Astyanax mexicanus: one gene and its partners. The protein of the gene in region 2 purifies or fractionates together with the protein of the main gene of each other region. This does not show direct contact. Links are inferred from orthologs where the notes say so. Each region holds a gene or a part of one and is shown on either strand. Other genes may lie near its edges.

Region 1 (7,402 bases), on a different chromosome or scaffold from region 2:
ACGGGTCATTCAATTAATACTCACTCTCTGCTGTTTTTCTTTAAACTCTGCAGCTTTGGCATCAAGCTCTGCTTGCATTCTTTGTCGTGACGCCTCCAAAGCCTCCTGGCGTCTCACCACGGACACAGGATCTAGAGAATAAAACAAATCAGCTTGCTTACACTGTGTTACACAGAGTTTTCTCTGTGTTTGTTCACAAGCTCATTCACATAACCAATGTGTCCATAAGAAAAAGGGCTAATTCTTTGGAGAAAGATTACTAGACAGGGTTGTGCACGGTCCTCATTATGTTTTGCATTGTATTTAGTAGTGTTGGACACACAAAAAAATACAGCTACTACTGCAAAGATGCAGGACATAAAATTGCTTGCTATGCCAATGATATTTTGATTTATCTGGGTAATTCCATAAAATTCCACATCTGAATGAATAAAGCAGCTCCAGGCACTTTGGTCATTTGTTTGTGTATAAGCTAAACGTAAATAAAACAGAAATTTCTATATTTAACTATGAGCAGCCTACGTTTATTTTCTTTGACTACATTTTTTTTTTAATTTTGCAAGTTCTTAAAGGGGTGGAGCCAGATTTGTTTTATTTCAATTGGCTTTCAAGAATTAGTTTTATTAAATTGAATGTACTGCCAAGATTTCAGCATAGTTGTCCAATACTGACACAGAGTGTGTATGATTCTTAGCTATACACTGAATGGGGTAGAGGTAAGTAATTAGAGTGTAACATCAGGACAGCTCATAGACCATTTTCCTGGAAGAAAAAGTTTCAAAACCAGTTGCAAAGTTATTTCTAAGTTTAAGAAGAAAGCCCATATGAGTATGAAAATGTACGGAACATCAAACAGAAGAAAATCCATTTGAAAAAAATATATATATTTTGTTTATTGCGCTATAGCAGTTAACGTTAATGCTGTATTAATGCTATTTCAAATGACAATGGAATTGATGGCTCTGAGTGACGGAGATGCGGAAACTATGATGAATTTAAGTCCTGGATCATGCTGCTCGACATCAGCAGCCAGAGTCAGAGAGAGCACAAGTGGCCTTGCACTCTTTGGGTGGGCAGTAACGCTCTCTCCACACATCACTCCCCAAGGTGATGTTGGTCAACACAGGTGCCTGTTAGCTGCTGTGCTAGTCGTGTGTTACTCGCTAGTCTTCACACTCCTACTGTTGGGCACATTACTAGTAATTTGAGTTCTAATGAGTGGTGGGGTAACTGGCCGTTCAAATTACGAAGAAAATGGGATAAAGTTAGAAATGAAATAGTCAAAGACATCGTTAAAGAGATTAAAAAGAGGATATAAAAGAAATACTGGTTACACTAAAACTGAGTATTCACGTAGCTAGATACTGACCTGAGCTGGATGTGGAGGCTGAGCTGCGATCCTGAATAGACCTTTTCTTATTGAGGTGCTGAATGAGGAGATACACCCCCCCACTGAGGAGCAGCAGATACCATCCATACTCAGAGAAAAGCGAGGAAACTGGGAGCAGGAAGAATCAGGTCAGTAAATAAGTTAATATAAGACGCACACACAGATGTTTAAGACATTGGTTCCTCAGAGGTGAGCTGAGATTATAGGTTTCAGAGCCAAAAATGTCTGACACCAGTCTCAGTTTCAGTTTTAAAGTAGACAACGAGAGTTAGCAACCAAATATCAGTAGGAGCTAGGCTGTTTTCCACCTTCCACTAATAGCTTGAGGACCAGAACCCGTATTGTATATTTATATATTCGCTTATATGCAATGTATATCCGTTCAATAACATAAGTCTATATGAATACAACAAAAGTTATTATGTGTATTTTTCTTGTGTATACTGTAAAGTTATCTGTATATTTCTATTTTATTGTATTATTCTACTTTGTTGTAAATATTGTTTCTTGCATACTAAGGGAAACCCTTTTAGACCTGAATTATGATCAAGTTGTGGAAAAATATAAGAATGCTATTTCTGCCTGTGATGAACACAAAAGCTGCCCTTTATAAACTGTATGTAAAAATTAAATCTAAAGAACTAAATATTCAATTGCCCTATTTAATGTCATTTGAATTGGAGGCCTGTGCTTAACTTGTTTAATTTGATATTGATATAACTTTTCATTTTTTTTATATAAAAAGCCTAAAATATATAATCATGATATAAAAAAAGCTGTTTTAAATCACAAAAAGTAGTAAAGAATTATCTCTTTCTTTGCTTCGTTGACTCTAGTGCTGTCATGCCATAATGTCTGAGTTAAGGGTTGATTTTATATTTTTTCAGTGAAGTGGGTGGGGCTAAGCTCCTGTTTAATTGTCTTTTTAACTTTTTTATTGGCTGGTTGATGGTCTATTCAAATGAACAATATGTCTCAATTAGTGTAATGTGCAACAAAACATCTTTTAAATTAATGTGCAGTCCACTGTTTGAGGGTCGCAAGGCCTGAAAGGGTTAAAAAGCCTTTATATTTAACTGTAATACATTTAAGGTGTAAAAACAGGACAGACAGTCAGAGGGGCTGAACTCTCACAGCTCCAGCTCTGTGTTTAACTAGTGAACACAGTGAGTCAGCTAGGCTAGCTAAATGCTAACTAGTAAACAAACAGGCCAACAGGTCAGCAGCTCTTATCTAGAGAACTCTTTCTGTCAGTAAAAGCGTTGAACAGAATATAAACACATTATTAATATTTTATATCTGTTTTAATTAAATCTCTTAGCTGGTGTTTTCCTACCAGTGGTCAGGAGGAAACTCAGGTCCTGGTTCTCCAGGCTCTCCTGCCCTCCTCCTCCTCCCGCTGCCGCCGCTCTGACATTAGCAGCGCCGCTCTCCGCCTCCATTTCTCACCGACACAAACTGAATTAAGACCGCCGGAGGTTTTATTCCATTAATTCTACAGTACCGCTGATTAAACGGCGGCTATGAGCGCAGCTTCGCGGCTTCACCATCAGCGAACTGCCCGCTGAGCTAAAGCTACCTCAGTTAGCCACATCAGATTTCCTCCTAAACTCAAGGATGACGTGGACGGTGAGCGGTGAAGGGGCGGGGCTAGTACAAATACATCGATCTCATTGGCTGTTGTCCGGAAAATATTATGAAAATAGGCGTTTACAGACCCAATCAGGATACAGTAAAGAAACGCCGTAGCAGAGCCGGTGTTCTGTCGAGTTGTGCTAGTCATCAAAATGTGCTTCTAAACACTAATTTTATTTTTTATTTTTGTCATTTTCTGTGTGTTACATACAAATGTGAGTCTAAAATAAATAGGTTCATATGGTGCACTAAAGCAAAATCAAGAGTTTATAATAAATATTTGAAAGTACTAAATTTCTCAACACATTTCTTTAACTATTTTACATATTTCCGTAGTGCGGACATATTTCAAAGCTTTTAGATTTGAAGAAAACCCTTTAAAATATGGTCTGGATGTTACAGGTGCATCTCAAAATATTAGAATATTATAAAAAAGTTATTTTATTTAGTAATTCAGTTGTGAAACGCAATTGTGAAACGCAATTATTATGTAGATGTATTACACACCGTGCGATCTATATTAAGTGTTTATTTTTTATTGTGGATGGTTATGGATTACAGCTAATGAAAACCCAAAAATGTGTGTGAAGTCCTGCTGAAATCTGCATCTCTTTAAAAGTTGTCAGCAGAGGAAAGCATGTAACACAGTGCAGCAACACCAGCAGATGACATGTCTCTCCAGAACGTCCTTAAATTTCAGTAAATGTTGCATTTCATTTGTAAATCAAGGGAGCAGAGTCTGGAGGAAGAGTGGAGAGACACAGTCCAAACTGCTCGAGGTCTAGTGTGAAGTTTCCACCAATCAGTGATGGTTTGAAGAGACATGTCATCTGCTGGTGTTGATCCACTGTTTTATTAAATCCAAAGTGAACGCAGTGTTTCCGGCAAAATCTGCAGATTTCATTTTTCAGCAGGATTTGCCACACTGCCAGAAGTACCAATTGATCTTATATAATATTCTTTTAATTAATTTTCAGAGACACTGATTTTTGGGTTTTCATTGGCTGTAAGCCATAATCATCAACAGTATAAGTAATAAAGACTTAAATAGATCACTCTGTGTGTAACACATCTATATATTATATGAGTTTCACATTTTGAACTGAATTACTGAAATAAAGTAACTTTCCAATGATATCCTAATTTTCTGAGATGCAACTGTACTTCAACATCAGCTCAAGAACCCACGAGCACACAGTAGCAGTAATTAGAACACATTAAATAACATAAAAATGTACAATGATATAAAAAAAAATCATATATAATTGAAATTTAAGACAAACTTTCTCTACATTGTCTATCAAATCTTTTGTACTAGATTTTTACAAGTTAATGAGGACATTTTTTTTTTTGGATGAGCCCCATCCCACCTCATCCTTGACTTATCCCAAAAGTCCTGGATGGAGCTGGAACTCAGTCTCTCTCGAGAGTTGCACTGCTTCACAGCTTCATACTGGGAGCTCTATACTCCCTCTGGTCCAAGCCAGGCATCAAGCATGGTGACAAGTGTTTCAGTTCTATTCTGACAGCAAAAAATGCATTGATTGGAAGAAGGCATCCAGAAAAAACAAAATAAACTGAATATTACTAATGTAACAACAAGAATACACTCAGTTTTCCAGTCAGCAATACATTTTAGAACCCAAAAAAACATACATTATTAAATTTTGCTGTTTTACTGTCAAAACACTTAACTTGGAGAGTTCGAGTTTAGTCAACTTCAGTTTATTTACAATTCGGACACTGACCTGGAATTTAATTATAAAATCCCATTATAAATTTTAGGTAAAAAAACAACAAAAAATAGTAATTAAAAAAGAACAATGTATCTTGTACTAAAAACTGAACGTATCAGGGTATGCATAATGATAATTTGGGCTTATAACGAGAAAAAATTAAACAAATCACACTAAGTTTACAGTAATTTGTGTTCTAGAATTAGCAAATTAGTTCAATGTGGTCATGTAAACAAGAAAATGACAATTTTATAAAAAAAAATCTTTAATGTGCTTAATTTACAAAAAAGATGGCCAAATAAAAGAAATACCCATCATACATAAACACTCCAGCCTCCTGACTCAAAACTAGACTTTACTAACTCAACAGGGCCGCTGACTCTGATCAGTCATCCACACTAAATCAACTACGATCCATTAACATGCATATCTTCTTCCATCTCCATCTCTCCTTCCTGATTCTCGCCCTGCTCCTCATCTCCCTCCATTCCATCTCCACGCTCAGCCTCGTACATCGACTCCTGCATCCCCCCTTCACTCTCCTCTTCCTCCTCTTCCACCATGCTCTGTGCACCTGGAGGAAAAAACAGAAAAAGATAAAGATGAGAGAGTGGTACAGTCTGACTAGAATGCCCTTAAAATAAGTGTTGTTAAGGATTAACAAAATTTTGGGATATGGAGTGCGCCTCAATTACAAGCTCCACCCCTTCGCCCTATATATACCTCCAAGTCACAACTCACCTCCGTGACGAACAAACTCACGCCCACCTCCACCCTGTCACCTCCCTCAATTTAATTTTTGCACCTCAGCCCTGGGGGGGGGGGGGGGGGGGGGGACCAGGCTCGAGATCATCTCAAGCAGTACCGAACTGCACCCAAGCATTAACTGAACTGTACCCAAGCATTAACAGAGTTCACATCCCCCCCCCGCATCGCTCGGCGCAATTCATTATAGCAAAGTTCATATTTGGAGAGGAAAGATCACACGTTTCAGACAGACGCACTTTCTAATATCATATCAACATATCAAAAAATATATAGTTTATCACAATTATGCTGCTAACCTGGGCTGGCTAGCACTGCTAACCGTGGCTAGCGCTCACCCTTTAACAAAGTACTGGAATTTTATGCCCACTGTAAAAAACGGAAGCGCTTTACTCACCTAAATAAACAGTTTTAAGGAGAGAAATCTGTGCAGATTAACATCCAGCACCCGTTTGACTTTTCTTTTTTTTTTCTTTTTTTTATTTAGTTTAGACTTTTTAATTACTAAATCAGTATAAAAGCCACCACTGATACAGCTGGGTGAAATGGTAAAAATGACATTTTTACGATACACAGTAGGGGTGTCACAATTCTCTAAATCCTCAATTTGATTTTATTTCTTATTTTAGTGTCACGATTCGATTCTCGATTTTCTTTTTTTTACAGCAGAGAGGCCTATGCCAGTTTTAGATTAGTCTATGGTCAGTCATTGGTTTGATTCATCAAATTTACAATATCTTATTTCAAAAGGTGGGCTTGATATAAGTGATGCAAAGTGATACAAGTGGTCTGTAATACACCACATTGGGCATTAATAGCCAAATTTAAATAATTTAAGATATATATGTAATGCCATCTAGTGGCTTTTTGGTAGCAGCAGTGTGCACTATTAAAACAGCAATGTGCAACATAACAAAATAAAGAATAAAAAATACAGGAACAGTCACGTACAAAATAATAGAACAATTAGAGCCGTAACAAACTGAACTCTATCCTACTATAACACTTAAACAAAAAATAAGACAAAACAACTGTTATTTTTATATTTTCAAGTTTTTCTTTAAGAAGTTGAGAATGTCCACATTCTCTGGAGAAAGGGCTGCTCTTTCAGCAGTCACAATGTCCGTGGCGTCGGCTACAGTGTGCTGCGCCATTTGCGCAGAGCATGTTCTTGCGTAGCTTAGAGGGAGGGATCGTCGATCCTCTTTTTGACTTCGAGGCTCGAGACTATGACATAATTTCAATCAATTTTGATGTAATATAAAAATCGTGACACCCCTAATACACAGTATTTATCATACTTTGACACAGACAAAATGCATCAGCAGTGACAGATATTGCTATTCTGCTATTAAAATGCTCAATCATTCTTATTCAATGTGTGTTTCACATCATTTAATTAAATCAGGATTTTTTACACTCTAATGTAAATGTAGATTGATAAATTGTAAAGCTACATGTACAGAGAGGCAGTAATCAGTCAGTCGGTTCAATACCTTGTCTGTTTTCTCTGCCGGGGATCTGACCAGCCTGGAGCAATCCCTTTAACCTCTCCACCTCAGCCAGTGATGTGGCGTTTGCGATGGCATTCTGTGGGGAAAGGGACGGTCATTACCAAAAATACAAAACTGAGCACCACATAAACTGAGCACTGTATCATCCACACACAGTAATATGAGCTTAAACATGTCAGTGCCTTAATAGCTTCCACATCCGCCGCAGAAGGTCCAGTCTTCTTCCGGTCAGCCTGTATTCCAGCACCAGGAGTGAACCTGAACACACACATTCAGCAAACGTTCTGTTACAAGACTGTCCCCAGCATATCCGCTCCTTCAGCCTTTTAACCACTGTTCCACCAATCAGAGTGTAGTATCTT
Region 2 (7,269 bases):
AAATACACATGATCTAAAGAGTACTAGTCTTCTACTTTAAGGAAATTTTGGGATTTGCCTGGCCCGAGCTGATTTTAGACTGCACAATTAATTGGCAAAATGGCAGCACAAAAAAAAATATTATTTAAAGCTGTATTCCAGTATGATTTTGGACTTTTTTTTCAGACCAAATACACATCAGATGAAGAGTTCTGGTATTCTCAAAATCAATGCTTTATATTCATTATTTCTGTGCAAAATGGCTTTCAAGTCATGTTGCCAATTCATTTTAAAGGATAAAATCAGCTCGAGCCAGGCTAATTCCAAGTTTTCCTTAAAGTAGAAGACTAGTTCTCTTCAGATCATGTGTATTTGTTCTGGCCCAAGATTAAAAAATTCTTCAAACTTGTACTGGAACAGTGGCTTTTTTGTGCAAAATGGCTTGTTATACCATGTTGCCAGTTCATTTTAAAGTATAAAATCAGCTCGGGCCAGGCTAATTCCAGGTTTACCTTAAAGTAGAAGACTACTACTCTTCAGATCATGTGTATTTGGCCTGGCCCAAGATGAAAAAGTCCTTAAAAATCACACTGGAACATCAGCTTTACATAAAAAATTGTGCTTTATGGATCAGTATTCCATGTTGCCAGTTCATTTTAAAGTATAAAATCAGCTTGGGCCAGGCTATTTCCAGGTTTTCCTTAAAGTAGAAGACTAGTTCTCTTCAGATCATGTGTATTTGGCCTGGCCCAAGATGAAAAAGTCCTTCAAAATCACACTGGAACATCAGCTTTACATAAAAAATTGTGCTTTATGGATCGGTATTCCATGTTGCCAGTTCATTTTAAAGTATAAAATCAGCTTGGGCCAGGCTAATTCCAGGCTTTCCTTAAAGAAGAAGACTAGTACTCTTCAGATCATGTGTATTTGGCCTGGCCCAAGATGAAAAAGTCCTTCAAAATCACACTGGAACATAAGCTTTATATTCAATTTCTTTGTGCATTATGGATCGTTATTCCATGTTGCCAGTTCATTTTAAAGTATAAAATCAGCTCGGGCCAGGCTAATTCCAGGTTTTCCTTAAAGTAGAAGACTAGTACTCTTCAGATCATGTGTATTTGGTCTGGCCCAAGATTAAAAAGTCCTTCAAAATCACACTAGAACATCAGCTTTACATTAAAAAAAAATGTGCATTATGGATTGGTATGCTATGTTGCCAGTTCATTTTAAAGTATAAAATCAGCTCGGGCCAGGCTAATTCCAGGTTTTCCTTAAAGTAGAAGACTAGTTCTCTTCAGATCATGTGTATTTGTTCTGGCCCAAGATTAAAAAGTCCTTCAAAATCACACTAGAACATCAGCTTTATATTCAATTTCTTTGTGCATTATGGATCGTTATTCCATGTTGCCAGTTCATTTTAAAGTATAAAATCAGCTCGGGCCAGGCTAATTCCAGGTTTTCCTTAAAGAAGAAGACTAGTACTCTTCAGATCATGTGTATTTGGTCTGGCCCAAGATTAAAAAGTCCTTCAAAATCACACTAGAACATCAGCTTTAAATTAAACTTTTTTGTGCCTTATGGATCGGTATGCCATGTTGCCAGTTAATTTTAAAGTATAAAATCAGCTTGGGCCAGGCTAATTCCAGGTTTTTCTTAAAGTAGAAGACTAGTTCTCTTCAGATCATGTGTATTTGTTCTGGCCCAAGATTAAAAAGTCCTTCAAAATCACACTAGAACATCAGCTTTACATAAAAACAATTGTGCATTATGGATCGGTATTCCATGTTGCCAGTTCATTTTAAAGTATAAAATCAGCTTGGGCCAGGCTATTTCCAGGTTTTCCTTAAAGTAGAAGACTAGTACTCTTTAGATCATGTGTATTTGGTCTGGCCCAAGATTAAAAAGTCCTTCAAAATCACACTAGAACATCAGCTTTATATTCAATTTCTTTGTGCATTATGGATCGTTATTACATGTTGCCAGTTCATTTTAAAGTATAAAATCAGCTTGGGCCAGGCTAATTCCAGGTTTTTCTTAAATTAGAAGACTAGTACTCTTCAGATCATGTGTATTTGGTCTGGCCCAAGATTAAAAAGTCCTTCAAAATCACACTAGAACATCAGCTTTAAATTAAACTTTTTTGTGCCTTATGGATCGGTATACCATGTTGCCAGTTAATTTTAAAGTATAAAATCAGCTTGGGCCAGGCTAATTCCAGGTTTTCCTTAAAGTAGAAGACTAGTACTCTTCAGATGATGTGTATTTGGTCTGGCCCAAGATGAAAAAGTCCTTCAAAATCACACTGGAACATCAGCTTTACATAAAAAAATTGTCCTTTATGGATCGGTATTCCATGTTGCCAGTTCATTTTAAAGTATAAAATCAGCTTGGGCCAAGCTATTTCCAGGTTTTCCTTAAAGTAGAAGACTAGTACTCTTTAGATCATGTGTATTTGGTCTGGCCCAAGATTAAAAAGTCCTTCAAAATCACACTAGAACATCAGCTTTTTATTCAATTTTTTTGTGCATTATGGATCGGTAGGCCATGTTGCCAGTTAATTTTAAAGTATAAAATCAGCTTGTGCCAGGCTAATTCCAGGGTTTCCTTAAAGTAGAAGACTAGTACTCTTCAGATCATGTGTATTTGGTCTGGCCCAAGATGAAAAAGTCCTTCAAAATCACACTGGAACATCAGCTTTACATAAAAAAATTGTGCTTTATGGATCGGTATTCCATGTTGCCAGTTCATTTTAAAGTATAAAATCAGCTTGGGCCAGGCTAATTCCAGGTTTTCCTTAAAGAAGAAGACTAGTACTCTTCAGATCATGTGTATTTGTTCTGGCCCAACATGAAAAAGTTCTTCAAAATCACACTTGAACATCTGCCTCATATTTTTTGAGCGCAATGGCTTTTAAAATATAATTTTATTAAATATATATTTAATTATTTATTGTAATATATAATTATAAATTCAGTAATTAAAATAAATATTTAACAATATACAAAATTATATTTAATAATATATTGTATATTTACATTGTTAATAAACAGATGTACTGCTTTTCTTCATTCTATCTCCTTCAGTGTTGATCTGTGAGGTGTTTAATATAAACAGCGGGTGTTTGTGAACGCTCCCTTTAGTTCACGGTGGTTCAGTGAAGCGGCAGCTGCGAATATCAAACCAACTTCAGCCGGGGAATACGAGGCTGCGAATATCGAGCCAAACGAATCTGGAGCTGCGAATATCAAACCAACTTCAGCCTCGTAGATCTCACTGTGTGGCTCTTAATAAAGTTATAGAACTTCCTCTGATATTAAAGCATTAAACCGCACAGACATGAGCTAGAACAACAGCTATGGATAACAGCTAGTTTACTATTAGGAGAAATACTAGATAGTAAATTCTAAGTACTGTGTATTATTTATATGAGGAAATTATATTATGACAAAATGATTCAATAATAATTTTCAAACCTACTTGGCCCACGTAATATTTAAATGATAGTATTTATTAATATAAATATACAGCTCTGGAAAAAAGAGCACTTCATTTTCAGAAGCAGTTTATCTGATTTTGCTATTTATAGGTATATGTTTGGGTAAAATTAACATTGGTGTTTTATTTTATAAACTACGGACAACATTTCTCCCAAATTCCAAATAGAAGTATTGTCATTTATTGAGCATTTATTTGCAGAAAATATGAAATGGCCGAAATAACAAAACAGATGCAGAGCTTTCAGACCTCAAATAATACAACAAAAAGAAGATTAAATTCATAAAGCTTTAAAAGTTCAGAAATCAATATTTGGTGGAATATTTCTGTTTTTTTAATCACAGTTTTCATGCATCATGGCATGTTCTCCTCCACCAGTCTTACACACTGCGTTTGGATAACGTTATGCCAGTCCTGGGGCAAGAATTAAAGCAGTTCAGTTTGGTTTGATGGTTGTGATCATCCCTCTTCCTCTTGATTATATTCCAGAAGTTTTTAATTTGTTAAAATCAAAGAAACTGATCATTTTAAATTGTCTCTTATTTTTTTCCAGAGCTGTATTTTCGCACCTGCCCTTTACACAGCCACATCGCCCACCACTGTACTGTATCAGTACACAGTTTATTCTAAACATGCACTGATATTTGAATATAAAAACCCCGTAATAACACATTTTCATACTTTAAGGTGTACGCGGACCAATAGCAGAGGGCCATATTCCGGGTTTTACCCGGGCGAATCAGAATTTGACACTTACAGGTTTAGCTAGGCGGTGCTGTCTACTGACTATGGGTGTATGTGTATGAGTGTATGTGTGTGATGCTCTTTTGCGCCGCTGTGTGTAAGGACGTGTCGCCACAGAGCCGGAAGCCTTACTAGAGTCGGTCCAAAAAATGGCTTACCAGACATTCCAGCAGGAGTATTTACAGATCCCGGTGGTGACGAGGACATACACGACCGCCTGTGTGCTCACCACGGCCGCGGTGGTGAGTAGAACCTCAGCCCCAGCCATATTCCTCTCATTTACCTCAGGTTTCCTGCGGCTTTAGCTGTGCTAGCTGTAGGTTAGCTAACGCTGGCTAGGCTAGCGAGAGGAGGGGGGTTAGCCCGTGTATCAGCGGTTAGCTGAGTTAGCCTCCTGTAGTTTAGCTGGGTTAGCTAACGCTGGCTAAGCAGCAGGAGCGTGTCAGTGTCAGCGGACTGGAGAAACCCAGTCCGTGTGTTTATGTAGTTACACTATTGAGTTTTAGTTAAATTGGTAATAATCTTTACCCGGAGCTCTGCTCTGGATTAGCCAACTGTTCCCCTTCACACAACGATAGGAAACGAGAGCAGTCAGTGTGAGTGTATATTAGTGTTTAGCTAGTTAGCTACAACTACAACTGCCACAGAAAAAAACAGACAGCAGTTTGTGGATGATTCTAGACTTCAGCAAGGACATCACAGCTGAGTGTGAGTGATTTTACCTAGGAGAGAGGGAGATTACCCGATTTTAAAGGGCTATTACCTGTCAACAACTACTGAAGACTTTAATTACATCAGAAATTACATTTAACGTTAATTTACTTAACGTACTTACACTTGTAGCTAGCCAAGCATCTTTCCAAATCAGTTGAAGTTTCCCAAAATTAGTATTTTCTGTACTACTCCACTAGCTAGTTATATACTTGAGGAAATTAGGCAACATTTTAATTAGTTACCTAGGTTAGCTAAACTTAAGTAAAACATTTAACTTTCTCTTTCTCTCACCTCTAACTTGTGAGCTTCAACGTGGTCCAATAAGAACTGAGCTTGATGTACAGTATAAAGTTCCTGTTTGGCTGGCAAACTGTATATATTGCTCAGTATTTTTATATTAAATGTAATTGTGTTGTTTATATGGAGTTTGGGCTGCTTTACACAGATTGTATGTGTTTACATTGACTATTTTTTACTTTGTCATTCAGATAAAGCGAATAAGACAGACATGACAGCTGTTTTAAAATATTTAAAACTTTTTGTATGTTTTAAAGTGAGGATTACCTGTCAAACTATCGGAGACTTTAGTTTTAAAGGGGCTAATACCTGTCAAAAACTACTGAAGACTTTAATTACATCAGAAATTACATTTAACGTTAACTTGGTTAACTCGTAGCTAGCCAAGCATCTTTCCAAATCAGTTGAAGTTTCCCAAAATTGGTATATTCTGTACTACTCCACTAGCTAGTTATATACCTGAGGAAATTAGGCAACATTTTAATTAGTTACCTAGGTTAGCTAAACTTAAGTAAAAACATTTAACTTTCTCTTTCTCTCACCTCTAACTTGTGAGCTTCAAAGTGGTCCAATAAGGGTAGAACTGAGCTTGATATACAGTATAAAGTTCCTATTTGGCAGGCAAACTGTATAACAGTATATATTGCTCAGTATTTTGTATATTAAATGTAATTTTATTGTTTATTTTGAGTTTGGGCTGCTTTACACAGATTGTATGTGTTTACATTGACTAGTTTTACTTCATCATTCAGATAAAGAAAATAAAACAGACATGACAGCTGTTTTAATGACATTTGTTAGGTTACGCTAGCTAGCTAACCATCTACATGTAATCAGATGCAAGTCAAATGGATTTGTACCTTTCTAAGTGTCTCCAAATGATTTGCTTGTTTTCTACTCAACTACATACATGAGGGAGGTTTTTCTTAGTTAGCTAGCTCGGTTACACTTAAGTAATAACATTTACCTTCTATGTTTTAAGAAACATTGACTTTATGTTTTCATGAATACAAGTTAAATGGGTTTTTACCAATTACAAATCATTTGGAGTGTCCCCAAATAGTTATTTAGTGTTCTTAGACTAGCTTATATACGTGGGGAAAGCTAGCTATCCAGCTATCTAGCTTAGTTTAGCTACATTTAATTAATAACCTTAATTTATTTTCCTCTCCCCTCTTACATCAGCTGGAGCTTTAGCATTTTTAATACTAACCAAAGTAATGAGACAGCTGCTGTAAGTGATTTAGAGGTTTTTCGATAGGTTTTAAAGTGAGGATTATCCATCAAAACTACTGGAGACCTTAGTAAGATCGCATATGACATTGAGAGTTATACTTACTCAATTATAATTAATGGATTATTTTTTTACTATTATTTTTTTATTTATATTGGGTTACTCCAAATAATGTGTTTGTTATTTTAGTTTTTTTATTCAAAAAGTAAAAAACTCTTAACACTGCAACATAAAATAACTCCATAACATTTGTTTCATTTTATGAAAAGATACATTTGCTTTGAGGTCAGACATTTTTATTAGGAAATACTGATAATTTGATTTAAAAAGAAAAGAACTGAGCCATATATAAATATCTGACCAATACATTTTCAGTACATGTCAGTTAGGCACTTTATGATTATGATTGTTATATGAACACAATTCTATTGCTAAGGCTACTGTACACAGAACTGATTGTTTACTAGATTTACTAGAGAAGAATGCCTGACTTTTCTGTTGCACATTTTGTCTTCCCAACAGCAATTAGAACTTATTACACCTTTCCAGCTATACTTCAACCCAGATTTAATATTAAAGCACTACCAGGTGAGTGTGTTTCTATATCCAAAGATGTTATTTTGCTTGTAGATGTTAAATAACAAAACTGAATCTATATCTTCTTTATTCTTTGCAGGTATGGCGGCTTGTGACCAACTTTCTCTTTTTTGGTCCAGTTGGCTTCAATTTCTTATTCAATATGATATTTTTGTATCCTTCCAACAATGGCCTAGTCAAATAAATGCATTTGCATTAATTTATTCTCT
Region 3 (7,711 bases), on a different chromosome or scaffold from region 2:
TAGTTCTTGTAAAAGAAAAGTGCGTTTAAGTTGATTTTTTTTAAGTATACTTAACATAAAAAAGTACATACTTTTAGCATTAGAATTAAAACATACTTAAAATAAACACATACTTAATGTAATATTTTGTATCAATTTACAGCAACATAAGTATATTTCAGTTGTAATTAAGCTATATTTAAATACAACACAAAAGCTTTTAAGTGCTTTTTTCTTCTGCAAATGTAAGTAGATTTTAGTATGTGTTTTTCTTAATCATTTTTAATACACTTGACGTATTATACACTGCTAAATGTACTACTTTGTGTATTGATGCACATGTACACCTTACACTGACACTGAAAAAAATACACTAGCAAATTGCTTAAATATGCATTTTATGGAAATACAGAGAAAGAGTATTTAATGTGTTTTTTTTTTAATATATGAAATAAAAAATGTACTTTTAGTATTTTTACCTATACTTCCTTTTCATAATGGACATTTCTGAGCTTAAACCTATTTAATACTTAAAGGACTATTAAATATTATATGTTACATAGTAACTCATAACATGATCAGGATGCATCATCAGATATTAGGGAAATATGCTGAGTTTAATCACTGGCAGCTCTTGTCAGCAGTTTCTGACAGTATATATAGTAGTGTGCGAATCTGCCCAGGGCCATTTCCACACCACAGGCTGCCAGGTATAGAACACAACAGCAGGTAAACAGTGTATAACTTATTAACTCATATTTTAAGCAGATTTTTTTGTTGGTTCTTCAGTTTAAATACCACACAAAACACCAGTTAGGCCTTAAATCTCTTTAATATACATTAACTCTTTGACTCAGAGGTACAAATATATGTAAAGGAAGAGGAAAATAAAAAAAAATCCTACTGTCAGTAGGAAATAAAGGAAGGATGTCTTCACACCTTTTTACTGTGTCCACAGAGACGTTCCTCAAGATGTCCCATTGGATGAGACACCTTCAATTCCAGTCCTAGAGTAGCACACGGGGTCCGATTCTCTCTAAACAGATCTCTAAATGCTTCAACAGAACAAAACATCAACATTAAATCTAAAACCAGTCTGGATCAGGTAAGGCTCTTTAATAGGGAGTTGTGGCTGGTTGTGGTGCTTCTCGTCTCTCACTGTTTGGATTTCAGTGCTGTAGCTGCCACGCCCACTATAATGGCAATGACGGTGAACCCCTGGGCGAAGATACGCGTCCGCATGAGCATCTGAGACTGGTGGGTTTTGCCGTGTTTAAAGGCCCGAAGGCCGTACGTCAGAGCTCCTGCCGTCCCCAAACAACCTGCAGAGAAACAGACAGGAAAACACATTAATGCATTAATTGATCCACTTAGAGATTACGGAGTAGCATTTAATTATTTCAAGATTTTAAATGATTTAATAGATATTTTAAACGATTATTTTAAATATTTTAATATGACTTAGATTACGCAGCATCACACAGTTCTGGGAAAGAAAAAGAGATCTTGTAAGGCTCTGCCAAAGTTACTCAGTGCATTTATAGATAATATAACAAATAACATGTAATGAAAGTGTCTTATCTGTATCGCAGTGTGAACAACAAGAAACAGCCAGAATATCTGGGCAAAGCAAACCCAGTCTGAACAGATAAATCAGAATAAATACCAATAAATAAAATGGATTACGTTAGTAAGTGAGGAGTTCAGTTGTTGCATAATAGGTAACAGATCTCTTACATATTTGCACAGATGACTCCGTTTAACTAAATTAGAAGCCACATATCACAACCACTCTCTGTTTAACTCTGTGTTTAAGGAAGATTAAAATCATATAGGCATATAAAAAAACATCAATTAATGTGTCTTTTTTTTATACAGTGAACTCAAACGCATTAGACCAACCTTAAGTATGGAGCAAGTAGGTTTATGTTTATCTGCTGTGTTTTATGTTGCATTTGCACATATGTATCAACAATGGGCATAAAGTTATTAAGTATATAATTATAAGTATAAAGGCTGAATACATTCAGTATAAAGAGGTTTTGTTACATGTCCACCTTTAAAGGCCTGTTCTGGATTCTTGTACAATTATACAAGTCCAAGATAATTATTTGATTATTTAAACAGTCATTTCCTGTTCCTGACCAGGTTTATTTTTGCAAGGAATCCCAGCTGGACTTTGAGGGACCCTGATACTCATCTCAGAACCCCCTCGAGTCCAAAAGGAGCAAAGGTTTAGGACAAACTGTTCGGATCCTGTTAGTGTTCACGGTCCCACATCCTTCCAGACCCACTGCTGGGGAACTTACTTGAGGAATTACTACTCACAAAAATCTAATTTAGTGTTTTTCTTTTTACTTAGTCTGCTTTAATTTCTTTAATTTAGCACTGCACACATACGTCCTCTGTACACTTGGAGAGCATCAGCAGGAGATGAAAGACAATAAAGTCAGGCAGAACATTCAGATCTGAGTTTGTACAAAGTGCTAATTCCACCAGCAGCAAAACAGCTTCAAAGCATGATGCTACCACCACCACACTTAACAGCAAGTACAGTACAGTAAAATAGACCTTGTTTGGTCCAAAGGTTCCAAAATAAACTAAATGACCAGGTGGTTTCCATCCATATTGAGTGAACCATGAATAATTTCCTTTTTTCACAGTGAAAACTCTGTTTGGGTGTTTTTTTTTTTTTTATTATTCTTTTAAAATGTTCTGAATCTAAACTATGAAGAAAAACTAAATTAAATTATTTAGTAAACAAAAAAAAAGTTAAATGTTTTATATTTTAGATCATTTAAAGTAGCACATCTTGCTTAGATCTGCTTTAGACATTTTTGCACATTTTATTTATTTTTATTTATTTATTACCAGTACAAAATAAGTACAATAACAAATGTAAAGAGACTATCTTGTAGTAGAAGTTAAACAGTACAATTTAAATTGGATGATCTTTAAAAGCTTTTAGACGTCCTTAGAAGTGAAAGCTGGCTTTGTATTGGACTCAGAGCACACAGAGTGTCCACAAACATCTATTGTCCTCCTTTATTGAGTTCTGGAGGCTCAGCTGCGGATCAGAGCTGGAACTATAGGCAGGTTCCAGCAGGTCAGATGTTCTACAGGCTGCTGATATAACCTATGTTAGATACTGTTGTTCTAGATATGCAGCAGCAGAACTAATGTTACATGTTAGAGGTCATGAAGGTGTTTACCAGCTATATAAAGCCAATAAAAAGCACAGAAAGTTATTAAACACTGAGAATAACTGAGTTTAGATCTATAGATGATTATAAACACACAGCAGCAGTAGTAATAATAATAATATCTATAATCCGGCAGTAATATAATACTAATAACAGCGCTGTTACAGAGCTTGTGTAACAGTGTAGGGTATCTCACCGATAGGGACGAACGGGTTCTCCTTGGTTTTGCGGAGAAACTTCTCCTTAAAGCTCTCCTCTTTCTGCCGGGGCAGCGGGGTGAAGCCCTCTATGACCGGCGGGCTGCCCGGGTTAAAGGCTGCGGCTCCGGGCAGCGCTGTCCGCCCAGCCCGCTCCTCCTGTACCGCGCTAGAAGCGACCGCCATACTCAGTCCGGCTACTGCCTCTACTGCTGAGCTCCGTACTCACACCCATACACACACTGCACTGCACCGCCCCTACAGGCCTCCTCCTGCTACTGCAGCTACTGCCTCTACTGCTGCTGCTTTAAAAATAGATAGATAGATAGATAGATAGATAGATAGATAGATAGATAGATAGATAGATAGATAGATAGATAGATAGATAGATAGATAGATAGATAGATAGATAGATAGATAGATAGATAGATAGATAGATAGATAGATAGATAGATAGATAGATAGATAGATAGATAGATAGATAGATAGATAGATAGATAGACAAAAAATAAATTATGTTTTATAGATACATTTCTTTGACCTGTTATTTTATTATAGTGACTGCAACAAGGATATTTGTTTTTTTTTATCAATCTGCTTATCTTACTGGGTAAAATCCATAAAATGAAATTCAGAAAATAAAATCCTACCTATGCCTTATTTAAAGAAGACTTCTATTCCTACATATATTCAACTCAATATATGCAATGTAAAAGAATCTGCCAAATTAATGAATATATTGAGACAATTACATCTTGTTTAAAAATATAAATTGCTTCCTCATACCAATCTGTTACACCGTCTTGTTTTTTTGTACTTTACTTTATATGTATATAAAGATAAATAGATAAAAAATTCTGTTGTCACTGAATTGAAGTTTTTCCTTAAAAAAAAGTTATAATCTGTTTTGAAAACCTTTCTGTAACTTTTCAATGAGAAATAACTGTTTGTAACTGTATTCTCTGGAAATTCTTAATATAAAAAAAGAACATTTTAAATATACGTAATACATAAATATAATTATACATAAATATATAATTCTATATTCACGATTTTTTTGTGCTGTTTCAATATACACAAAGGAAATAAACATGTGTAATTTTAATTTCAATTTCCAGAAAATGTGAAACACTGTATATCAGTGGTCCGCTGCATTCATATTTACACATACATATCAACAAATATTTTTCTCACTTTGATCAAATTAACTCTTTAAAAAATGAATGAAAGAAACAGAGCTCTTAGGCTTCTTTTCTGTCCACGTCACACACAAACAAGGCCCTCGCGTCGCACCTCAACGTGATCACGTCGCACTTCAACGTCATCACGTCGCATTTAAGCGTCGGCACGTCGCGGTGGGGGGACTGGCGAGGTAAGATGGCGGCGCCAGAGGAGCAGGAATTATCTCAGGCTCAGACTGAGAAACTCCTCCAGTTCCAGGTACAGTTCGCTCTGCTCCCGCTCACCCACACCACTCACACCCGCCGCCCTGCGGTCTGTCCGGCATACGGGCTCAGAGCCGCCGCGGAGCTCCGAGCCCCGGTTTCGCCGCTTTAATACAACGATAGGAACAGAACAGTTAGCATCAGGCTAGGCTAAATTAAGCTAAGCTAATAGCTAGGTTAGGCTAAGCTAAGCTATCGGCCGCTCCGGGGCTGTAGCGCGGAGGCTCTCCTCGCGCTGCTGCTGCGCCTCAGCGGTTAGCAACACTGCTAACTATTCTACCCTCAGAACCAGCGCAGCCTGAGCCGATTAATGATCGATTATTATCGATAATATCGTTCAGATAGAGCGCGTGAGGAGCGCATGGGTTAGCCAGGAGCTGCCGGAGCATCAGCAGCTGTCAGTTTCCATCAACTTAGTTGGCTGAAACTTGCTGTTAGCCGGTTACTCAGCATTCAGGAGCCGTTGCTGAACCTGTAGCTCCCCTGAGTCTAATTTGGTCTAAAGGAATAAACCCGAATTAAGTAGTTCAGCCAGTTTAAATTCAGTAGTTTTAGTAGATTCAGTAGTTCTAAATGTTTAATCTCGCTGTTCACTTAACCTGACCTAACTCTGGTCCAGAATTAGCCCTAATTAACTAGTTAACTAATTCACCAGCCCTAATTATTAACTACAGTTCACATTAGGGCTGGGCGATATGGCAGAAATCTTGTTTATATCATGATATACTTTTTTAAATCGTTGGTACGATACAATTACATTATGTTGATATCAACATGCTCCGTCTTTATCTTTGGTGTTGTAATAACACACTGGTGAGAGCTGGGAGATACAGTTAAAATAGTATATCACAATATTTAAAGATGTTTTCATGATACACTTGGGTTGTAAGAAATATATCGAGAAATGTTGAGGTTGAGTGAAAACCTCTGGAATAATATATGATAAAAAAATAACAATATAATAATATAATCAAGAGGAAGATGGATGATCACAAGCCATCAAAGCAACCTGAACTGCTTAAATTTGTGCACCAGGAGTAAAGGCATAAAGTTATCCACCAAAAGCAGTGTGTAAGACTGGTGGAGGAGAACATGATGCCAAGACTTTATTAACCAGTTAAAAAATATGGCCTTAAAATGTCCTGTGTTACAGTAGTAATAGTAGTAGAAGGGGTACTACTACTACTAGGTACTAGGATGAAGAAGCTTCTAATCTTTTGTCTTTTATATTTAGTTTGTTAGTAAAAAGTTCATATTTAATTTCAGGTTATATTGGTACATTCATCGTGACATTCAAAAAAATCAAATTGTGAAATAACTTTAGTTAGATTGACACAGAAATGAAAGTGAAAATGTTCCTAGGTGGCTCATGATGATTTATATATGAGGGCTGGGCAAAATGGCCATTTTGATATAATAGTTAAGAATATAAAGGCTACAGAAAAAATGCCAATAACACTCTCAACAAATGTTTGTACCTACAAAAGGCTAAAAATGAATTTGCCAGTTCATGTAATGCATCCTGAATTCAGTGCCAGGTCAGGTAAATTGTAAATTTATGTATACTCAAATAGTGGAGAGTCATATTGGCGTTATTAAAGCATTTTCTATTACAATATTGTATCAATATGTATGTTGATATTGAATTATTGATGTTTTACAGGTTGCAGTGTAGATTCAATCACTACTGTACTAAATAGATTTTTATTAAAGGCAAAACAGATGGGTGTCATTCTTAAAACATACCTCATATGTACAGTATGTCCTAATATGCTGTTAAATAATGCAAAATCTATTATTTTTAATCCCGTACAGGACCTGACGGGCCTGGAGTCGATGGACCAATGTCGCCGCACATTAGAACAGCACAATTGGAACATTGAGGTGAGCGCTGACGGGGGAGATCAATGATTCCTTTCAGAGAGATGTTGGAGAGAGCTTTTGGCAGCTGGAGCTGCATTGTTGTGATGAGAATGCTGCTGTTTTACAGGCCGCCGTACAAGACAGACTAAACGAGCAGGAAGGAGTTCCCAGTGTCTTTAACCCGCCGCCCGCCAGACCCCTACAGGTTAACACAGCAGATCACAGAGTCTATAGCTATATCGTCTCCAGGCCACAGCCTAGAGTAAGTGCTTCATCTGTACCCTGTTACTGACGCTTACGTTTGTAAATACTATTTGTTTCGTGTCCTCATTCCTTTCTTACCTCTTTATTTTACAGGGATTATTAGGTTGGAGTTACTATTTGATAATGCTCCCCTTCAGGTTTACGTATTACACACTTCTGGACATATTCAGGTAACACTTTTCTGCTTTTACAACCTTTAATTAATTCATTATAGTTTTATTCTTTTTTTGTTTGAGTGCATTAAGGGTGTAATACTTTCCACAAACGATAAAAGCCCACGTCTGCAAGAACAAAGCAGACGTATGTAGTCTAGTATGAAGATGATCTGTGCAGAGACTCCAGCCAAAGTCCAACTTAAGCTTCCTTAATATATTTACGTTGTTCTATGTGTAAAATACATTCATTTTCAATAGGCATATATGCACCTGAAACACTACAGTACAGCCTAACGCATCCCAAATTATATTTTCAACATAAACATTTTAATAAAACATTATAGTCGTTATGGCTTTTAGAAAAATGTGCACTATAGGTCTCTGTGATATGCCCTAAACTTAACTAGTACTTTTACACTTATACTTGAGTAGAAAGCTTGAGTGGACCAAACAAGACAGGATTGTTTTTGTGCCTCATTGCAACCCTATAATGTGCAATATGTGTTCTATTTCTTAAAAGATCTAACAAGTTCTTTGTTATTTTCTTCAGGTTTGCCCTGAGATTCATTAGGCCGGATCCTCGGGGTCGTGTCACAGATCCTGTT
Region 4 (7,066 bases), on a different chromosome or scaffold from region 2:
GGGGTAAGTGAACTGGTGGGAGGGAATGTGTGTGATTTGGTGCGTGATACGGTAGAGGGTCCGCTGGATGCGTGGTTGAGTGTAGATCCGATAGAGGAGATGCTGGAGCGCAGTTGTGAGTCCCCAACAACTCCGTTTGCGCGATCTGATCGGCCGTTTTCGCACGAGTTTCGCTGTGTCTGAGCGCGAGTGTACTAAAACTAGCCTTGCGGTGCATTCGATAAACACGGGTGACGCCCAGCCCATCAGGCTGAGGCCGCACCGTCTGGCGTTAGCAAAGCGTAGCGGCGGAGCAGTTAGTCCGCGAGATGGCGAGTACAGGCATTATTGAGCCTTCGAGCAGCCCGTGGTCGGCCCCAGTGGTCCTTGCGAAAAAGAAGGATGGAAACTGGCGCTTTTGCGTGGATTATCGGCGACTTAACGCTGTCACGAAGCTTGACTCCTACCAGCTCCCCAGGATCGACGATACGCTGGACCAGCTGTCTGGCTCAGCCTGGTTCAGCTCGTTAGACCTGAGGAGCGGATATTGGCAGGTACTCCTCGCGGCGGGGGATAGGGAGAAAACCGCTTTCTCGCTCGGCTCAGCCCTATGGCATTTCACGGTGCTTCCGTTCGGATTGTGTAACTCGCCGGCTACTTTTGAGCGTCTTATGGAGCGTGTTTTATGCGGGGTTCGCGGTCGTGCTGCGTCGTTTATTTGGATGATGTCTTGGCGCACGGAACCGACTTCGACTCCGCACTGTCTCACCTTGAAATGGTGGTCAGCGCGATTCAGGCGGCTAACCTGAAGCTCAATCCGGCAAAGTGTAATCTGCTAAGGCAGCGTGTGAGCTTCCTGGGCCACGTAATGAGCGGTGCTGGCGTGGAAACCGATCCCAAAAAGATGGAGGCGGTCCGTGACTGGCCCACGCCGCGAGACGCTAAAATGGTTCGCAGCTTCGTGGGGCTCGCCTCGTATTACAGGCGGTTTATTAGGGGGTTCGTGGACGTGGCAGCGCCGCTTCATGCTCTGACTAAGCCTAGTGTGAAATTCCGCTGGTCTGACGAGGCGGAGCGGGCATTCGAGGAGCTAAAAAGCCGCCTGTGCAATGCTCCGATTCTAGCGTATCCGAAGGTGTCTGAGAGTTTCATTGTGGATACTGATGTCAGCGACCACGGCCTCGGAGCAGTCCTGTCGCAGGTTCAGTGCGAACATCACACTGTCGTGGGGGGAGGTGGTGCCTCTGGGCCCGATTGCTAAGGCGTTGCGCTCCAACTGGGCTAGTTTTAGTTTGTCCGACGGCGTGCTGTGCCATATCTGGGAGGATCCGGCGAACGGGCAGCGCCGGTAGTGCTGCTGGCCTGTCGCTCCGCTGTGCAGGAGACGACGGGATTCACGCCGGCTCTGCTTATGTTCGGGCGCGAACTGAGGACGCCGGTCTCCCTGGCTTTTGGGGCGCCTCCTGACGGGGGCGGGTACGCTTCGGACACGCCCACTTTTGTCTCGGACCTTATGTCTTCGCTGGAATTAGCACACCGTCTAGCGCGCTCCAACCAGTCTGCTGCCGGACAGAAGCAGAGGCGTGCGTACGACACACGCTGCTTTGGGGACCTGTTGGCGGTGGGGGCGAGGGTTTGGCTATATAACCCTCAGCGGAAGAAGGGACTGTGCCCGAAGCTCCAGTCGGCCTGGGTGGGTCCGTGCTTGGTGCTGTCCAGGCTGGGGGAGGTGGTGTATAAGATCCGGTGGGGCAGACGCACTATGATTGTGCACCGTGATAGGCTGGCCCCCTATAGGCCGAGACTGTCAGACACTGTGGTGCGGAGCCTGCCGGCCTTGCACTCGTGCCTGACCTGAACTCTGGCTCTTCGGAGCCGCTGGCAGGTGGTGCCGTGCCCGGCCCCTCCAGGCTGCCGCGGGCACGGAGGCCGCCCGCCCGCCTTAAAGGTCACCTTCCGCGAAAATCCGATTTTTCTTGTTTTTTGTGGAATACAGTAGGTCTCTCCGAGTTGAATGTGTACACCTGCACATTAAACTGTTTTGCAGCCCCCATTGTCTGCAGGAGCTAAGCAAAGAAATCCCCCCTCCCCCCCTCCGAAAAACGGGTGAATTTTGAATTATCTTTCTGCCTACGTAGGCAGAAACTCACAGACCAGCCCACCTTGGCTCGAGAAACTCCCAGAGGCGGAGCTGAAGCGACGCAACATCACCGCTCATCAGTTAGGAGGTGGGAGGCAGTGAGCGGCAGAGCGGTGGAGGGGCGTCGCAGTGCTCCTAGCCAATCAGAGGAGAGATATTTGCAATGCTGTTTGCATGTATGAATATTCATGAGCAAAGCTGGAATCCGGTCATTTTGGACACACCCCTAAAACAGTCCATTAAAAAAGAGCTATACAGAGACACCTGAGCACTTTTTTTTTTACAAAAACGGCTCACATGTCATTCATTCATACTAGAGACCACAACTAGACATTTTAAAATGAAAGAAAAAACGACGGAAGGTGAGCTTTAATGACTTTGTTTGCAACTGATTGTAAAAAAAAAAAGTTCTGTTGTACACGGGGTTTGTGTTGGGTTGGTGGGGTCGCCGGGACGGCTGACCCTTGGGAGGGGGGCTATGTGGCGGCTCTGGGTTGTGTGTGTGGCTGCCTGCAGGTATGTTTCTGTTCTCCTGTGTGCGAGGATGACAGGGGTGGGGCATCTCCCTTAGGAGGGGTTATGCAGAGAGGGTGGGCACCACTCTGGATCTGCCATCTGGGAGACACACAGCTGGGTTGGTGGCCTTTGGGCTATTAGAGTTCTGTGGGTGAATGGTTTTACCTCTCCTAGTCTTGTTAAAGACTGTAAGTGAGTGGCAAGCCTGTTTAATAAAAGAGCTTATGAGCATTCATCATGAGTCTCACGGGTCTTCCTTCCTCTTCCACGCCACAATATGTTTGTGTAAAATTAACATTATTGTTTTATTCTATAAACTACAGACATTTCTCCCAAATTCCAAATAAAAAATATTGTCATTTAGAGCGTTTATTCGTAGAAAATGAGAAATGGCTAAAATAACAAAAAAAAAAACTCCAGAACTTAAATAATGCAAAGAAAACACGTTCATAATCATAACGTTTTAAAAGATCAGAAATCAATATTTGGTGGAATAACCCTGGTTTTTAGTAACAGTTTTCATACATCTTGACATGTTCTCCTCCACCAGTCTTGTACACTGCTTTTGGACAACCTTATGCCACTCCTTGGTTTGAAAAGCTGAAACTCCAACCAATTTTTTGAAATGGCCAAATCAGAACATCTCTAATAAAGAGGTTAAAACCTCGTGAGAATCTATTAAAGTTTTGTTTAAACACCAGATGGCGCTCCCGATTGAGTCGAAAATGAATGGGTTAATATGGTGCAAAAGATAAAAATTGAAGTTTTAAAATGTTAAATACTTTTCATACTGAAAAATGTACTAATTTCCTTAACCAACAACATCAATATATAATGTTTCAGTACGGAAGATATAATTTTTAAAGCTTTTAAACTCCAGTTATAAGTCTTGTAATCATGCTCTGACACCAACCAGTCAGCTCCCAGTAGCACTAATGCTAGCGCATGTGTTGCCTTAAATCCATTTACTGAAGAAAACTAAAATGCATAGATTAGTTATCTTAGATTTTTTAACAACATACATCATTTTATTTTTCAAAACAGAAAGAATATCCTGGACAAGTTTATAGCTATTATTTTTAATTTGAGGTTTTATTCGTTTAGCTCAATTCACCCCCATTCATTTTGGACTCACTCGATGGCTCCCTCTATCGGTTGCAGTGATTTTCTAATATAACGGCGGGGATAGTAAATGGGTAGTACGCTCTCCATAGACACCGGCTCTGTAACTAAATTATCGGTCCAATAAATACCCTTGTCGTGGCTATGGAATAACCTGTTTAACTTGTTATCCAATGAGAACACACTGCTGGCTTGACTGACGTTTTCTCTACCCAATCGCGTAGGGAGGTTCTTCGACGTTGTCCAATCCGCGTGCTGTTTCGCACACGTCCGTTGTCTTACAACAAATAACAAGTGAACTGACAACGCCAGTTTGGGATGTGAGGGAAACATGGCTGCTTCCTTGGTTAGGTGTTTGAGGGGGCTGTATGTTTTGTTTTTGATATGTCTCCTTTTCGCCTCTGCTTTCCTGAATTTAGAGGAATTAAATGAAATGAAATATGGCATCCAGATTCTGCCAGACCCGGTTATCATGGGCCAGGTAAGTCTGCAGGCTGAGGTAGTTAGCTAAGCTAGTTAGCTAGCATTAGCCTGGTTCGTTAGCTTTACAACGTTATTTTGATAAGACAGCAACAGTCTTAGCACCAAAAACAACGACTCGCTGACCAGCTAACGCTACCTTGTCTATCTGGAAGAGCCTGTAGGTGCTAAATATTTACTGTCGTTATAAATTTCACTCTTATTCTTCATCTAAATTATCTTGGCTAAATATAACGGTTAGCTAGGCTATCCTCTTTATGTGTTATTAGTTAGTCTTGTCTGACAGCTGCTAGGTAATTTATATATCGTGTCACAGTGCTGTTAACCAGGCATGTTTTGGCTTATACGAGCTTTCTGCTTGTTGTGTGGCATAAAAGAGAAATTGCATCTCCATCATATGTGGCTTAGTTTGGGAAATTGTATTCACCTGTCCTCTGTAGCACTAACTGTTTATTTGTTTGCTATGTTAGTTAACTACGGTTTAGATCGAGTAGTTGTGTGGTTATGTTAAATCTACAGCTCTGGAAAAAAATGAGTACCACTTAAAAATTATTCTTTATTAAAAATTATTCTGAGTTTCTTTGATTTTACCAAACCAAGGAAGATGGATGATCACAAGCTGTCAATCCAAGCTGAACTGCTTTAATTTTTTGCACCAGGAGTGGCATAAAGTTATCCAAAAGCAGTGTTTAAGACTGGTGAAGGAGAACATGCCAAGATGCATGAAAACAACTGTGATTAAAAGCCAGGGTTATTCCACCAAATATTGATTTCTAAACCTTTATGAATATGAACTTGTTTTGTTGCATCTTTTTTGTGATTTTAGCCATTTCTCATTTTTTGCAAATAAATGCTCTAAATAACAATGTGTGTGTTTTTTTTTTTGGGGGGGGGGGGGGGATTTTGGAAGAAATGTTGTTCGTAGTTTATAGAAAAAAAGCTATATTCATTTTACTCAAACATACTTATAAATAGCAAAATTACAGACACTGATTCAGAAACTGAAGTGTTATTGAGAGTTATTGAGTTATAGCTTCCTGACAGTACGCCGGCACTACTAAAAACTGTCAGGGAGCTAGCTGACAGTACGCCGGCACTGCTAAAAACTGTCAAGGGGCTAGCTGACAGTACGCCGGCAGTATTAAAAACTGTCAGGTAGCTTCCTGACACTATGCCGGCAGTTTTAAAAACTGTCAGGGAGCTAGCTGACAGTATGCCGTAGTAGTAATACTGTCAGGAAGCTCCCTGACAGTTTTTAATACTGCCGGCGTACTGTCAGCTAGCCCCCTAACACTGCCGCCCGTCTCCCGGCAGGCAAAGATCCAACCCCAACTGGTGTTATTTGAATATATATATATGTATATATATATATATATACATATATATATATATATATATATATGTATATATATATATATATAAGATGTATATATTACTAATTAACAGACTGTAGAATACCTATTTCCTAATAATTTGTGCTTTTGTGTTCAAATGTCACTTATCTTGCCCTGTCATTATTTCTCTGCCAGGTGGAGGATGTAATGTTGGTCTCCAACAAGTACAAGCAGCTGTATGAGTGTCGCTTACCTGCCCAGGCAGTCCGCTTCCACCAGGATCCTGTACCAGAGGCTGACTCTCAGGGCTACAGTGGACCGGGGATCACTGAGCTCCTGAAGCCCATGCAGACTGCTCCCTGCCTTGTCAAGGTTTTAGCCTAAACTCTTTATGTGCACAGTCTAACAAAAACTGTTTTGTAATAAAAAAAGTCTGAAAAAAAGTTTTTTTGAGATTGTTTTTAATATGTTCTCCACACAGACCAAAGACTGGTGGACCTATGAGTTCTGTTATGGCCAGCACATTCGACAGTATCATTTGGAAGGTGGAGTATATAATCTTTAACATATAGTGTGTACAAACAAACACACACGCACAATGTCACTCTCTTTCTCTTTCATTCTCTCTTTTACCTTTTGTTACATATTATTTTTCTATATTGTTTAGCATTACATTGCAAACAGCACTACACATTTGTCATTATAAAAGGTGTATATATACACACACGCACACCCTTACAGACATGTCTGTTAATTTCACAAAGTATTATTTTTTTATTTGTTATTATTTCAGATTCAGAAATCAAGGGTGATGTCCTCTTCCTGGGTTATTTTGAATCAGAATTTGACTGGACCAATGAAACTGCAAAGGTAAAGCTTAGTTTTTTGTAAAATAGTAAAATTACTCTTTATATCATAAGAGAGAATTTACTATACCTAATTTTCTCTTTATGTTTTAGGCCACTAAACAACACAAGCTGAAGAGATACCACAGCCAGTCTTATATCAATGGTTCCAAGTGTGATCTAAATGGCAGCCCAAGGGAGTCAGAAGTCAGGGTGAGACCTCTTTGCAAAATCATTTAGGAATGATTTAAATAAATGGGCACTCATGATTATGTGAAGTTGCTTCATAAAAATGTGGTTGCTATGGCTGTGATGGAATTTGATTACCTGAAATGTGCCTTTTTCTCTTCTAGTTTGTTTGTGAGGAGAGTTCAAGTGATTTTATTGCTCGTGTGGATGAACCTCAGTCCTGTCGCTATGTTCTCACCATACACACCTCTCGCACGTGTCAACACCCACTCCTGCGCCCACCCTCCTCTGCCAAACCACAGGGCATTGTGTGTCAGCCTGCTCTCAGTGCTCAGCAGTACATGGACTATGTCAAAGCGCAAGTCTGTAAGTGCAGATCTCACAATTCATAATTATTATTATTATTTTTTTTATTTAATCTGTGAATTCATTTTCACCTACCACATGCTGCCACACTCTTT

What was found.
Region 1: the proteins of derl2 (region 2) and selenos purify together in Homo sapiens (affinity purification with western blotting; 3 studies listed by BioGRID and IntAct, with this or other methods). This does not show direct contact. The link is inferred for Astyanax mexicanus from reciprocal best matches to the Homo sapiens genes DERL2 and SELENOS.
Region 3: the proteins of derl2 (region 2) and faf2 purify together in Homo sapiens (affinity purification with mass spectrometry; 5 studies listed by BioGRID and IntAct, counting the BioPlex papers as one, with this or other methods). This does not show direct contact. The link is inferred for Astyanax mexicanus from reciprocal best matches to the Homo sapiens genes DERL2 and FAF2.
Region 4: the proteins of derl2 (region 2) and os9 purify together in Homo sapiens (affinity purification with western blotting; 3 studies listed by BioGRID, with this or other methods). This does not show direct contact. The link is inferred for Astyanax mexicanus from reciprocal best matches to the Homo sapiens genes DERL2 and OS9.

What each region holds. Positions count from the first base shown.
Region 1 is NC_064423.1:9,663,545-9,670,946, reverse strand, and holds the start of selenos (selenoprotein S), read right to left. Parts: upstream 3,018-7,402; 5' UTR 2,833-3,017; coding exon 2,727-2,832; intron 1,499-2,726; coding exon 1,370-1,498; intron 132-1,369; coding exon 25-131; intron 1-24. Other genes in the region: snrpa1 (U2 small nuclear ribonucleoprotein A'), read right to left, coding at 5,169-5,335, 7,023-7,116, 7,223-7,298. UniProt on the Homo sapiens protein: Involved in the degradation process of misfolded endoplasmic reticulum (ER) luminal proteins. Participates in the transfer of misfolded proteins from the ER to the cytosol, where they are destroyed by the proteasome in a ubiquitin-dependent manner.
Region 2 is NC_064408.1:27,636,194-27,643,462, forward strand, and holds the start of derl2 (derlin-2), read left to right. Parts: upstream 1-4,268; 5' UTR 4,269-4,367; coding exon 4,368-4,460; intron 4,461-6,985; coding exon 6,986-7,051; intron 7,052-7,139; coding exon 7,140-7,213; intron 7,214-7,269.
Region 3 is NC_064426.1:2,400,443-2,408,153, reverse strand, and holds the start of faf2 (FAS-associated factor 2), read left to right. Parts: upstream 1-4,709; 5' UTR 4,710-4,756; coding exon 4,757-4,819; intron 4,820-6,639; coding exon 6,640-6,708; intron 6,709-6,814; coding exon 6,815-6,949; intron 6,950-7,044; coding exon 7,045-7,121; intron 7,122-7,656; coding exon 7,657-7,711. Other genes in the region: higd2a (HIG1 domain family member 2A, mitochondrial), read right to left, coding at 1,135-1,301, 3,379-3,565. UniProt on the Homo sapiens protein: Plays an important role in endoplasmic reticulum-associated degradation (ERAD) that mediates ubiquitin-dependent degradation of misfolded endoplasmic reticulum proteins.
Region 4 is NC_064412.1:17,475,677-17,482,742, forward strand, and holds the start of os9 (protein OS-9), read left to right. Parts: upstream 1-4,044; 5' UTR 4,045-4,088; coding exon 4,089-4,238; intron 4,239-5,766; coding exon 5,767-5,943; intron 5,944-6,052; coding exon 6,053-6,116; intron 6,117-6,364; coding exon 6,365-6,441; intron 6,442-6,530; coding exon 6,531-6,629; intron 6,630-6,769; coding exon 6,770-6,971; intron 6,972-7,066. UniProt on the Homo sapiens protein: Lectin component of the HRD1 complex, which functions in endoplasmic reticulum (ER) quality control and ER-associated degradation (ERAD).